Sus scrofa: one gene and its partner. The protein of the gene in region 1 purifies or fractionates together with the protein of each later gene. This does not show direct contact. Links are inferred from orthologs where the notes say so. Each region holds a gene or a part of one and is shown in the gene's direction. Other genes may lie near its edges. The genes, in order: RANBP6 and ARMCX3.

Evidence for each region.
Region 2: the proteins of RANBP6 (region 1) and ARMCX3 purify together in Homo sapiens (co-immunoprecipitation; 3 studies listed by BioGRID and IntAct, counting the BioPlex papers as one, with this or other methods). This does not show direct contact. The link is inferred for Sus scrofa from reciprocal best matches to the Homo sapiens genes RANBP6 and ARMCX3.

Annotation. Positions count from the first base shown.
Region 1 is NC_010443.5:216,101,559-216,108,677, forward strand, and holds the start of RANBP6 (ran-binding protein 6), read left to right. Parts: upstream 1-2,873; 5' UTR 2,874-6,043; coding exon 6,044-7,119. UniProt on the Homo sapiens protein: May function in nuclear protein import as nuclear transport receptor.
Region 2 is NC_010461.5:83,185,116-83,192,377, forward strand, and holds the start of ARMCX3 (armadillo repeat-containing X-linked protein 3), read left to right. Parts: upstream 1-2,823; 5' UTR 2,824-2,989; exon of another isoform or gene 2,990-3,143; intron 3,144-3,517; 5' UTR 3,518-3,597; intron 3,598-3,882; 5' UTR 3,883-3,943; intron 3,944-4,208; exon of another isoform or gene 4,209-4,279; intron 4,280-4,547; 5' UTR 4,548-4,704; coding exon 4,705-5,844; 3' UTR 5,845-7,262. UniProt on the Homo sapiens protein: Regulates mitochondrial aggregation and transport in axons in living neurons. May link mitochondria to the TRAK2-kinesin motor complex via its interaction with Miro and TRAK2.

The DNA of each region.
Region 1 (7,119 bases):
CCGCAGCTGTTGCATAGGTTGCAGTTGTTCCCTGACCTGGAAACTTCCATATGCTGCAGATGTGGCCAAAAAAAAAGATAACGGTGTTTTACTACTATGCATCTTATACACTTGGAGTGAAGAGATAATATGCTGGGAGATAGGTAAAACCACAGGTTCAGCATGGCTGGTCTTCCTGGCATGAGCTAAGGGACTCCAAAGTAGATTGTAGACTTCATGAAGGTGAGCATTTTTGTCTGTTTTATTCACTATTGTATCCCCAATGTTCCAGCACAGTGCCTGGCACATAGTAGGTTAAATTTTTATTGAATTAATTAAATGTTTGAATAAATGAAAAGCTTAGAAAAAAACAACTTCATATTAAAAAAAGCTTGAAAATATTAGTAACTGGAACATCATGTTTACATTCAGATTTTAAGTTAAAAACATAAGCTGCTCCAAATTGTAGTCCCAGGTGTCAGAAATACCTTTCTCCTCTGCTATCCTTTTTTTTTTTTTTTTTTTTTGAGAAAATCTGGGTGAAAAAGTTGAGGTGTTATTCTAAATCAATAATTTTACATTGAAAACAAAGAAATTCTTTTTTTTCTTTTGGTCGGTCATTTAAATTTTCAATGTACAATGTACATAGAATGCAAAAAGTTCCTAATTATACTCAAATCCACAAATTCATATGCCCTTTAATCAGCTTAAAAATATCGTAAATTGGAGTTCCCATTGTGGATCAGCATTAACAAAACTGACTAGTATCCATGAGGATATGGGTTCAATCCATGGCCTCTCTCAGTGGATTAAGGATCCGATGTTGCCTTGAGCTGTGGTGTAGGTCACAGACTCAGCTCGGATCTGGCATTGCTGTAGCTGTGGCCTAGGCCAGCAGCTGCTGCTCTGATTTGACCCCTAGCCTGAGAACTTCCATATGCCACCGATGTGGCCCTAAAAAGACAAAAAACAAAAACAAAAACAAAACTTAAATTTATGGAAGGCTAGAGAGTACTTTATAAAAATTTCAGTGTTCAGTGATCTTTAGAACCACTAACTATAATTACTTTGGTTCAGGATTTATTGTAAAACTATAGTAATCTGTACAGTCTGTGGCACTGGAGTAAGGATAAACATATAGATTAATAAATGGAACAGAAGGTTCAGAAATAGGACTACATGTATATGGTCAATTGATATTGAACAAAGATGTAAAGGTTATTCAGTGGAGAAAAGTAGAACAACCAAAAATTCATATGCAAGAAGAAATGAGCTGCAACCCAGACAAGAAGAGGAAAAACACTAAGGTGATTCCTCGTTTCTCTCTTTTCCATCCTCCAATCTCTAGCGGCTCCTACTGGTGGAAACTATCATAGATCCAGCTATGAAAGAAATTTTATTTCCAGAGCCTAAACTTAGCATCAGAAAACAAATTAGAGAAAGTAAGAATGTGATACCAAAAGACAACATATAAATGACATTTTTTGTTTATCCCACTTTTAATAATACTAAGATTAATCATTAACTTCAGGTGGTTTCAGCCTAATCTATTATCATGTTCTCAATGTTTCATTCCATGGTTTTATCATCCATTGGTTATTGTCATCTACATTTGTTATTCCATTTGGAGTTACAGCAATTTTCTGATTTTAGCACCGTTGTGCACTTATTATATGGAATTCTATAAAGAAGAATGTGGATCACTATTTGGTTATCCTAGAGTTTGTAAGAGAAAGGCAGGAAAAATCTTGACTATTCTTCTTTATCAATTTTCAGTTGGTGACCTAACAACCTCCAAAGATGACCAATGAGTTGGTTGCTTTTGTTAGTATTAGAAACTCAGAACTTTTGCTTATATATCTGAAGAGTTTTTTAATCCATCACAGGCATTATTCTGATATTCAGATTTGTCTCATCTTAGGTCAGTGGGAAACTTCATAGTATTGTTTTATATATTTTTATTTATTCTGGGTTATTCTTGAAAAAATGTCAAGTATGTCCAATTTAATTTCCCCCCCTCATTTGACTTTAAATCTCTCAGATCTTGGAAGAAATTTGCAAGTTATTTTTCACTTTCCCACTTAGTAAGCCGCTAATAAACACTTGAATTGTCCACTATTGAGCCACCTTATGGAAACATTCCTAAGTGGTCTCTCAACAGTGCAAACATTTTTAAAAGCCAATTTTAATTACAGAATTTAATCAAGTTATTCAACTCTAACCAAATCTTCAAGTCCAGTCTTGAAATTTTCAGTATGATATGTGCTGCTTAGGGGAAAAAATAAATAAAAAGGAAATCACAATGCAAAAAGTAAATAGAATAGAATTATGCAATTTAGAAAGGAAGAACTTTAAGATTTTAAATCCATGTGTTTTTCTAAAATAAAGGAACATAACTTTTTTTCCTAAAATGGATTCAGTTTAGACTTTACTCTTGTAACAATGACCATCACTATAGAGTGAGAGAGCAACTACGGAATAAAATATGGATTTTGGTACTCACCTTCTTAGGAAAGCCTCTTTTCCCCCAGAAAGAGTTAATAGTCCTTTGGTCTACATTAATATTGTTGTTTATTTATATGTAGGTTAAGAAATAGGTAAATTTCAGCACCTCCAACCAGATGCCCAGGCCAAAACTCGGGGAGATTTCCTAGGCTTCTCCTTCTCCTCTGAGGTGCAACTGATATGACCTCTTAAGATCTCTCCAATCCTTGCCCTCTTTTCTTTCCATCCACTAGTGTAATTTACACTTTCAGCTTAACTGAACTCCTGTATGTCTCCAGTCTTTAACTTCAGTTTGCACATTACCATTAAAGTAATCTTTCTACAAATGGGTTATTTCACAGCCTTTTTTTTTTTTTTTCTTTTTCTTTTTAGATCTGTATCAGTGGCATATGGAGGTTCCCAGGCTAGGGGTCAAATCAGAGCTGTAGCTGCCAGCCTACGCCACAGCCACAGCAAGTCCAGATCCTTAACCCACTGAGCGAGGCCAGGAATCAAACCTGCAACCTCATAGATCCTAGTCAGATTCTTTTCCACTGTGCCACAACGGGAATTCCTATTTCACAGCTCTTGATTAAAATCCTTAAACAGCTCCTCTTTACCTTAAGGGAAAAAAAGCCAAATTTCTTAACCTGGACTATAAGACTTTTCATGATCTGGCCTCTATATAACTTTCTGCCTTCTTCTTTCCTGGCTCCTGTCATTCCCAGACCCCCTCACATTCCATTCTCAATGATCCAGCAATGAACAACTGGCAGAATGGACTGCACTAGGCAGTAAGGCCTTTCTGCACTTGAACATAGATCTTATTTTACTTAGAAACTTCTTCTCTTTCTTCAAATAGTTAATACAGATTCATCCTTCCAAAGTCAGCCCTGATATTACCACCTCTGGGAAGCCTTGCCTGATCTCCCTCAGCTGCCTCCATAGTCCTGTGTGGTTCCATGGTAGATGGCCTATCACCACAGTGCTCACTACACTATATGACATTTACTATCTTTCATGAGCATCTATATATCTATATATCTATATCTACCTATCTATCTATCTATCTATCTATCTATCTATCTATCTATCTATCTATCTATAGATAGTCTTTTTAGGGCCGCACCTGAGGCATATGGAAGTTCCCAGGCCAGGGGTTGAATTGGAGCTTCAGCTGCTGGCCTACACCACATCCACAGCAACACGGGATCTGAGCAACCTACACCACAGCTCATGGCAACACTGGATCCTTAACCCACTGAGCAAGGCCAGGGATCAAACCCTTGTCCTCTTGGATACTAGTCAGGTTTGTTGCAACTGAGCCATGACAGGAACTCAATCCTCATATATTTAATCTTATCCCTAGCACACAGCACCATGTTTTGAGTATTCCCTCAGCGAATGCTGAGAGAATAAACAAATAATTGCATAATGTTAACCCAGCATTTTCAAAACACATTTTTTCAGAGTAATTTTACCTATTATACTACCACCAAAAATAGAGTTTCCTGTTGTTCCACATCCTTTCAAATGCTTAATATTCTTAGATACAAATTTAAAATATTGTGGAGGGTGGGTCTTTAGTGATATCTCATCCTAGTTTTCAATGTCATTAATATGCTAATAGATATAGTATTAAGGAAAGTCCCCCCCCCACCTCTACTTATTAATATTTCCTGAAACAGCAAATGCAAAGGCTCTGCAGTTAGACTTTTTCAAGGAATGGTAAAAAAGCCAGTGACTGTGGAGCAAGAGGCAGAACCATAGTCAAGATCTTGGAATGATCCCATCATTCGTTCTCAAGTTTTGCTATTCATGTGAAAACCCAGTGTGCTTGTTAAAATTGGACATTCTTGGACTTCCCGTGTGGCTCACAACATTACTTGGCATTGCTTCTACAGTGGCGGTGGCTGGACCCCTAGCTCGGGAACGTCTATATGCCGCAGGCCACTTGTTTAAAAAAAAATTTTTTTTTTAAATAATAAAAAATAAAAAAATTAAATTCAACATTCTTGGGTTGCATGCCCCAGAAATTCTGATTCAGTAGTTCAGAACTCGGGCCCTAATATCTGTATTTAAAATAAGCTTGTCAAGTAATTCTGACCCAGTTTGCTTATGGTCTACAGAATAAGAAACACTGTTTAGAGAATTAGGTTTTTTCCTAAATGAGCACAGTATTACATATTACAATGTCATTTAAGAGATTGCTTTTCCTATAATCCGGTTAAAACGTTAAAACTGTGATTTTCTCTCTTCATGGGTACGTGCAGCAGCATGTTACAAAATTAAAATTAAGCCCATTTGGAGATGTTTAAGATAACCTTACAGTAAGCGAAGGCCTTTGATCATGTTGCAAAACCAAGAGTAATTATGTGGAAGTGGTATGGTGAAAGAGCATTGGTGCTGCTTTCAGAAGTGGTGGATTTGAGATTCCGGCTGTGTCATTTTAGGCAAATCCCTTAACTTGCATGAATTTCTATTCTCATCTAAAGTTAGTATAATACCTATCCTACTAACCTTGAAAACCTGTATAACCATCAAAATGAAGAGTGGCAGGGCACTAATACAAAAGTAAGATCTAATCATTGTTACAGGAATGATCATTGTTTTTGATTGACACACATGAGTTAAAGAAATAACATTTAGACTCGGGGGCATTTATTTCGTAGAATAATCTCAGCAGCTTCCTACTAAAAAACTGTGAAAGCATTTTACCATTTGCAAAGAAAGTCTCAAGTGACATGACCATGGGTACAAAATCAATTTAGAGACAAGACCAGGATTCTAGTGTTCTGATTACTATCCCAGGTCACTCCCCACCATACTTTCCTCATTTGTCTTTCTCATTTTGTATTATAATCCATAGGCCAAATGATTCTGGCACACACCTGAGACTGAGAACCACTGCTTTACTGCATTTGGTGTAGTGGTGGGGTGGTAATCATTGCCTTTATCTTTTATTACACTTATTTGATAAACAGCTTTATTGAGGTATTACTTACATACCATACAAATCACCAATCTAAACTGTACAATTCAATGGTTTTTAATACACAGAGTTGTGCAGTTATCACCACAATCAATTCCTCATTTTCACACCCATCCACCCCCGCCACCGCCCCAGTACTCATTCTCTATTCTTCTTTTCCCTCAACCACTGCCAAACACTAATTTACATTCTGTATGGATTTGCCTGGTTAAGACCGTTCCTATAATTGGAATTACACAACACGTAACATTTTATGATCTTCTTTCACTTAGCAATTTTCAAGGAGTACCTAATTGTTTTAAAATTAGCAGTGTAACAATAGATAGTTTAGAAATAAACCAGAAGGGAAAAAAATCACCCATAATTCCATCCTAATACAATCAACAGCATACTTTTTTTTTTTCTCTTCTGCGGCTGCACTTTCATCTCACTGGAAAAAAGATGGAGGGTGACCCTCCCCGCCACCGGGCTCTCCACGCCCCCCCCGCCCATCTCCACCCGGCGCCTTGATGACGTCACTATTTCGAGCCTCAGACCACCCCCCCCCACCGCCCTCCCTCCCTGTCGCGGTGGCTTTGACAGAACGCGATGGCGGCGTCCGGGTCTGCGGGAGTGCCGGCGGCTGTGTCGGGAAAGCAAGAGTTTTACCAGCTTCTGAAGAACCTGATCAATCCAAGCTGTATGGTGCGGAGGCAGGCAGAGGAAATCTATGAAAATATCCCAGGTCTGTGTAAGACTACATTCCTCTTAGATGCCGTCAGAAATAGAAGAGCAGGTTTTGAGGTGAGACAAATGGCTGCCGCACTGCTACGACGGCTTTTGTCATCTGGGTTTGAGGAAGTCTATCCAAATCTGCCTTCTGATGTTCAGAGGGACGTCAAGATTGAACTAATACTGGCCGTTAAGTTAGAAACACATGCTAGCATGAGGAAAAAACTTTGTGATATTTTTGCAGTGCTGGCGAGGAATTTGATAGATGAGGATGGCACTAACCACTGGCCGGAAGGTCTGAAGTTCCTTATTGATTCAATCCACTCTAAAAATGTTGTTCTATGGGAAGTTGCACTTCACGTTTTTTGGCACTTTCCTGGAATTTTTGGGAACCAAGAACGGCATGATTTGGATATCATCAAACGGTTGTTGGACCAGTGTATTCAAGATCAAGAACATCCAGCAATCAGGACATTATCTGCTAGAGCTGCAGCTGCATTTGTACTTGCTAATGAGAATAATATTGCTCTTTTCAAAGACTTTGCAGACTTGCTTCCTGGAATCTTACAGGCTGTGAATGATTCATGCTACCAGGATGATGATTCAGTGCTAGAGTCCCTTGTTGAGATTGCAGATACTGTACCTAAATATTTGGGTCCTTATTTAGAAGATACTCTTCAATTGAGTCTAAAGTTATGTGGAGACTCCAGACTTAGTAATCTGCAACGCCAGCTGGCTCTTGAAGTGATAGTGACTTTATCTGAAACTGCAACCCCAATGTTGAAAAAACATACAAATATTATTGCACAGGCAATTCCTCATATATTAGCAATGATGGTTGATCTTCAAGATGATGAGGACTGGGTAAATGCTGATGAAATGGAAGAAGATGATTTTGACAGCAATGCAGTTGCTGCTGAGAGTGCACTAGATAGACTGGCTTGTGGGCTCGG
Region 2 (7,262 bases), on another chromosome or scaffold:
TGGAGGGTGAGAAAAATACAGAAGATTGTTATTTTAAAAAGCTATATTACTTTTTGCATTATGTTATTTATTTTTGGATTGTGTATTAGTTAATTTTCTTTGATTACAAGCAACAGAAACCAAATCTGGTTAATGCAAACAATGATGGAATGTTGAAGATCAGCATCAGATTTGAGACATCTAGTGGGAGGAATTGATAGATGGGCTCTTCAGGATGCCATAATTCCACTGATTTTCAGTTTTCTATCTCCGTTTGAGGTTTAAATTTCAGTAAGAGAGTATGGAGTTGGTCTGTTTGGGTCACAATGCCCACCCTTTTGCTGGGGAAAATGACAGGGTATGTAAAATGTAAATGGCGATTCCTTTCTCTTCCCAGAGAGAAATGTATACTGTTTCAGATATTATTGTTGATTTGCAGGAGCCCTTCAACTACTTTGGATATGATGCTTTGTTCATCTGGGACTGAGGTGCTGGGGGGCCTATCTGCCACGGCATGCTTTAGTCGTAATTTTCTTTTCTTTCTTTCTTTTTTTTTTGGTTTTTTAGGCTCACACCTGCAGCATATGGAGGTTCCCAGGCTAGGGGTCTAATCAGAGCTGCAGCTGCCGGCCTACGCCACAGCCACAGCAACGCAGGATCCAAGATGCTTCTTCAACCCACACCACAGCTCACGGCAATGCTGGATCCTTAACCCACTGAGCAAGGCCAGGGATTGAACCCACAACCTCATGATTCCTAGTCGGATTCGTTTCTACTGCGCCACAATGGGAACTCCAGTTGTAATTTTTACATTAACTGAACACTAGAGAGGTACAGTTCTGAAATGGTGATGCACTAGGCTGTCTTGTAAGCCAAAGCTACTTGGCTTCCCTGATAGGATTCCACAAGGTTGCATCTAGAGTTCAGAGCCTTGTCCTCATCCCGTCATGATCAATACCTGATTTTGTCTGTACGCTGAGAGTGGATGCCTCTGTCAAGGAAAGACTCCCATTCACAGAGACATATCTAAATCTATATCTGAATGCCCCAGTGCATGGATTTCTGCATTTTCTCCCTGTAAGAAGGCCACAAGGGAAACTAAGTCTCACAAGGGAGTGACAACTGAAGAATTTATCCTGAAAAATACAACCGTCAAGGGTACTAGAGGTTTCTGTCAGTTTTATCAGCCCATTCACTCCCTGTTGGCAAGCTACTACTTGGGAAACCACAACCTCAGAAGGTGGCTTGGTGAGCCTGCAATCAGAGCAAGGGCATTGGTGCACTTTAAGAAGTGGCTTTTAGCTAAGAAACTTGAAGTACACTTACACATCATGGGGATGGCTCTGCCAAAGAAAGCTAATTTTTCCATTCATCTTGGCCAAGACTCGCTCTCCTCCAGACAGTGCTTGGGTGGGAACTATCAACACTTTCCTCTGACTCTGCTTTTCATATATCCCTATGCTTGAATAAGCCCCCTCGCTGCACATGATCTTTCTCTAAACACAGCATCATAGTTGATCTGGTTTCTGCTTACTAAATTTCAGTCATACCCTGTTCACCTTAAACTTATACAGTGCTGTATCTCAATTATTTCTCAATAAAACTCGAAGAAAAAATAAAATTCAGTCATAGTCAAGTGCTGTCTTCCAAAAGTTACATCAACTTGAACTTTCTTAGAGTTTTGCCTGTTCCCAAACTTCCTAATTTCTTGATTTATGCCCCTGTTGTCTGTGGATCTTAAAATTCATACTCAGATAATAACCTTATATCTGAACTATTAGGGCATATTTCACTGTAGACCTCATGTTCTGACATTATTTTATTATTTTGCCCACTCATAAAAAAATTCGATCATTGCTGACAGGTGAATCATTCATTAAACTGGTCGTTGAAAAGGTTTCACACTAATTCCTAGATACCGAGGTTGGCCAATTTTGTCTTAGTCTCACTGTTCCACTAACATCTATTCCATTTTAAAATGATATTCTCTATTTATGCCTGAGTGTATTTTATAATGTTCTTTGTATGCCACTCACTCTGTCGGTGTGCATGCCTGTATGATACACATCCACTATGTTGGTGCGATTTCCACTCAACATTTTCTGTGTCACTTGCTTCTGAGAGCTCCATGCCTCTTCCTTGCTAACTGATGCAAGTAAAAGTCTGTAGCTCTCCCGTTTTGAAGACTGGCCTAGTCTGCTGTATGTATTCTCAGACATACTGATTAGCTCATTCAGGATTATGTTATGTGCTAGGCCCCCAAAGACATTAAGATGGCTTTCTGTAACACTCCCCACAAGTGAGAAAGTGTGGTACATTTTGGAGGCCATCACCCAACACCACTCTCCAACTCCCACTCTTTTTTTTTCTGCAAATGAAAATAGCTTTACAGCAATTTTTTTTTTTCATAAAAAGAATGCAGGCTGCGGGTGGGAGAAGGGCAGAAGGGAAAGAACAAAAACGCATTAAGAAAGGAAAACACACACACACACTCACTCACTCCAGGGCTCCTTTTCAGATGGCTTTTTCATTTCAGATCTGGGACTGGATTTCAGAGGAAACCGTAGACATTTATAGCTGGGAGGCGGGGAGGTGGAAGGAGAGGTTGCTGTCCCAGGAGCCTAGGGAAGGAAGAGGCAGTTTTTCAAAAAGTACAAGTGGCCAGTAACCCCAGGGGGAGATGCTGTCCCTTTCTGGTAATGGGGGAAGGCAAACACAACTATAAGGAGATGGGATTGGCAACGAAGAAAGAGTAACAAGGCCTGGTGTGGGGGAGGGAATGGAGGGGGGCGGGCCCTCTTCTGCCGCACTGCTGGTGGGAGGGGAAATTGGGGACCCGAGTTGGTGGATGACGTAGCTCTCACGTGACCAAGAGCTGACGTGTGCAGAAGTCCTTCTTGTTCTGGTCGTTGTTCCCCGTCTGAGTACCAGCTCCCCACTGCCCTGAGGGTGAGCGGGCCGGTGGCAGAGGGAAGGAGGAGGAGAAGGAAATTGTCCCGGATCCCTGCAGGTCAGTGCCAGGGAGATTCCAGAAGGTGGGGGTGGCCGAGGGTGCAGGGCGCAGACCGTCGCGGGTCTTGGGGCGCCTCTGTTGTCTCTCCCACTCGCCGCCGGCTTTGCAAGACATCTGTCCCGCCCGCAGCCCATTTCGATGCTGCGAAATGGTGAGTAGGGGGATGTTTGGGGAGGAGCCCAGAGATCCGGAGGTGGGAACCTGGTGGGAACCGAGGCCGTAATCTGCAAAGGGAGCTGTGGCCTGGGTGTTGGCCCCCCAGTCCTTCAGGACAGTGCTGGCCGGGAAAAACTGCACTTAGCGAGGGGGGAGTGCAACGTGATGTGTCAGCAGAAGCCCCCAAGAGGGTAATGGGGGTGGGAAACCTTTGACAACCAGGCCTCCGAATTAGGAAAGAGTTTTCTGTTCTGGGGACTGGTCCGTCCACCAAGCACTCGGTAGCGTCTGTTTCCCGTCTTTCTGTGACTGTGTTTTCCTGACCATGGCTCTGTGTCTTGTGGGTCCGAGCCTCTCCCGGGTTGCCAGTCTTTCTGTAGGTTGCGGCACTACGGCAGGCTACAGAAGAGGAAGGAAATTAACCCCGATCGGTGAAGGTCGATTTGAGGGTAAGACCATCTGGGGACCCTAACAGGGCTGGTGATGGGGGTGGGTAGAAACCAGAGGTGGCAATGATCTAGGTTAGGTCTGAGTCTGAGTGTGTTTCTTACACTCTGGGGACTGTGTCGAAATGGCGTGCGTTGTGTGTGTGTGTGTGTGCGCGAGCGTGTGCGCGCCCGTGTGTCGCGGGGGTGGGGGAGAATGACAGAAGGGAAACCTATCAGATAGTTTGTTCATAATCCTCTTCTCTCAACAGCACTTAGTCCCCATGTTTTCGATCTGTCATCCTGCAGGTCTGCTGTAGCAGGTGGCACCAGTTGAAGCGAGGGAGGAAGTTTCCTCGGATCAGTAGAGGTCGGTGTGGGCGTGGGGGCTGCTTAGAATGGGGGAGGGGTTGGAAATCGCCCGTGGTTGGACAGGCTCACCCAATCCTACTTTATTTCCCTAACATCCCTCCCATTTCAGGCTAGGGAAGGGGCAGGCATGTGCATGTTTTGGATGGCATAGAGAAGTTTTCTAAAAAAAAAATATGACAACCTAGATGGTGAATCAGGAAAGCAACGAATGAACAGTCAATCCATTAAGCCTTTAGTTCTCACTGGCTCTGGTCTCTCTGCAGATCACAAGGGTTGTTGGGCGTGGCACACCTCCAGGGGAGGGAAGAAGGGGCAAACTGCTTGTCTGGAGGAGGTTAGTGCAAGGGTGCTACTCCCTGTGAACACCGATTTTGGGGTGGCTGAGGCCCCAGCAGAGACTGTGGGCTCTGTTGCCTTTATCTAGGCTTGGGGAGGGTGTGGACTGGGGAGGGTAGGAGGAGGGTGAAGTGAGAGGGCACAGTTTGTTAACAATCTACATTTCCTACCAAGAACTCATTTACTTGTCCCTCTGTGCAACTCCCTGCATGGGATAACACAGAGAGAAGAGAAACTCAAACCCCATTTCCTTCCTCCACCCCTAGGTCCACTTGTAGTGTCAGCTACTGTGGCCTTGAAGTGGGGCTGAAGACAAGACGATCACCCTCTGCAGGCCTGCACCCAGCCAGGCCTATAGCCATCCTCCCCCAGCCTGAGTGACTACTCTGTTCCTTGGTCCCTGATACTGTCAGGGACGATTGCATGGGCTACGCCAGGAAAGTAGGCTGGGTGACTGCGGGACTGGTGATTGGGGCTGGCGCCTGTTACTGCATTTACAGACTGACCAGGGGAAGAAAACAGAACAAGGAGAAAATGGCTGAGGGCGGGTCCGGGGACGTGGATGATGTTGGGGACTGTCCTGGGGCCAGGTACAATGACTGGTCAGACGATGATGATGACAACAGTGAGAACAAAGGTATAGTATGGTATCCACCTTGGGCCCGAATTGGGACTGAGGCTGGGACCAGAGCTAGGGCCAGAGCAAGGGCCAGGGCTACCCGGGCACGGAGGGCCGTCCAGAAAAGGGCTTCCCCCAATTCAGATGATACCGTTTTGTCCCCTCAGGAGCTACAAAAAGTTCTTTGCTTGGTTGAGATGTCTGAAAAGCCTTATATTCTTGAAGCAGCTTTAATTGCTCTGGGTAACAACGCTGCTTATGCGTTTAACAGAGATATTATTCGTGATCTGGGTGGTCTCCCAATTGTGGCAAAGATTCTCAATACTCGGGATCCCATAGTTAAGGAAAAGGCTTTAATTGTCCTAAATAACTTGAGTGTGAATGCTGAAAATCAGCGCCGGCTTAAGATATACATGAATCAAGTGTGTGATGACACAATCACTTCTCGCTTGAACTCATCTGTGCAGCTGGCGGGACTAAGATTGCTTACGAACATGACTGTTACTAATGAGTATCAGCACATGCTTGCTAATTCCATTTCAGACTTTTTTCGTTTATTTTCAGCGGGAAATGAAGAAACCAAATTTCAGGTTTTGAAACTCCTTTTGAATTTGGCTGAAAATCCAGCCATGACTAGAGAACTGCTTAGGGCCCAAGTACCATCTTCGCTGGGCTCCCTCTTTAATAAGAAGGAGAACAAAGAGGTGATTCTTAAGCTTCTAGTCATATTTGAGAACATAATTGACAATTTTAAATGGGAAGAAGATGAACCTACTCAGAATCAGTTCAGCGAAGGTTCACTTTTTTTCTTTTTAAAAGAATTTCAAGTGTGTGCTGATAAGATTCTGGGGATAGAAAGTCATCAGGATTTTTTGGTGAAAGTAAAAGTTGGAAAATTCATGGCCAAACTGGCTGAGCATATGTTCCCAAAGAGCCAGGAATAACTTCTTGATTTTGTAGTTTAGAAGCAACACACGTTGTAAACTGTTCCTTTTCTCCACCTTGTTTATATGGTAAAGGAATTCTTTCAGCTGCCAATTTTGAGTAATGAATATCATATTGTATCCTCAACACTGATATTTATCTGAGTTGGTCTTCAGGTCTAAGCTGGATGAGTGAATATCACTACTTGTTCTGAAAACACGTTTGTTGCTTTTTATCTTGCTGCCTAGATTGAAATATTTTTACTCTTTCTTCTGCATAAGTGACAGTGAACTAATTCATCATAAATAAGCTCCTTCCTGTCATTTGCATTGACTTCATTTGTGTATCATCAATAAAGTTGTGCATTAATGCTGAGAAAAAAAAAAGAAAGAAAGAAGGAAAGAAACCATCCTTGTCTTTCAGTTTATAATCTAGTTGGAGAGATAAGAAACATGCAAACAAAAAGATAACAGAATAACTCGAACATAGATACTCATTGTCAAATATGTGAGCTCAGAGCACAGAGGAAGCAAAGACTTCTGTGGGATACAGTAGTCAGTTACAGATTTTTGGAAAAAGTGGTCATTGAAAATGAATTCTCAGTGGGGTGGGTAGTTAGGGCATTCCATGTGATGGGAGTGAGGGGGGGACTGGTGTGAGAAAGGTATGGAGGTAGGAACTCTTCCTATGACAGTGAGGAGACTAGTCTGCTTAGTGTGGAAGTAAACAGATTTGGGAAGCCAGCTGCAGCCAGTTTGTGAACTCTTTCAATATTATCCCACTGAACACTGAGAGCCACTAAATAATTCTGACTAGGAAGGATAATTGTAATTCATATAAAAGTCCCTCTTTCATCTATTGTGCAATGTCCATGAGGGTGTGGCAAAATGGACCCTTTCAAAATGGACCTTACAGTGGCACAGGGTTTGTGAAGGGCCATTTGGCAATATATATCATAAGCCTTAAAATATGTAAACCCTTTGTCCTAAGGAAATAATTGAAACATTGGCCAAAGATTGTATTACAAGGCTGTAACTCTCAGAACTGTGTGAAAGAGTAAAAATTGGAAACAACCTAAATGTCTAGCACACTGGATTGGTTAATAAATTAAGGAATGTTCACACGGTCTAAGATAAACATGTTGATTAGAATTCATATTGCCAGGAAAAGATATTCATTATGAATTGTTAAGTGAGAAAGGTAGGTTAGATAGCAGTATTTATAGTATGATTCCATTTTTTTTTGAGAATATAAAACATGTTTAAGTAGATACTAAAAACTCTGGAATTACAGATATCCAGAGTAACAGTGGTTATCTTTGGGTGAAAGGATAGAGTGATTTTTACCTTTTTACTTTTTATTCATCTACATATTCTTATTTATGTAAAACCAATAATTATTTTTCAAAAATTTTTAAAAAAGAAAAGCATTGGGAATG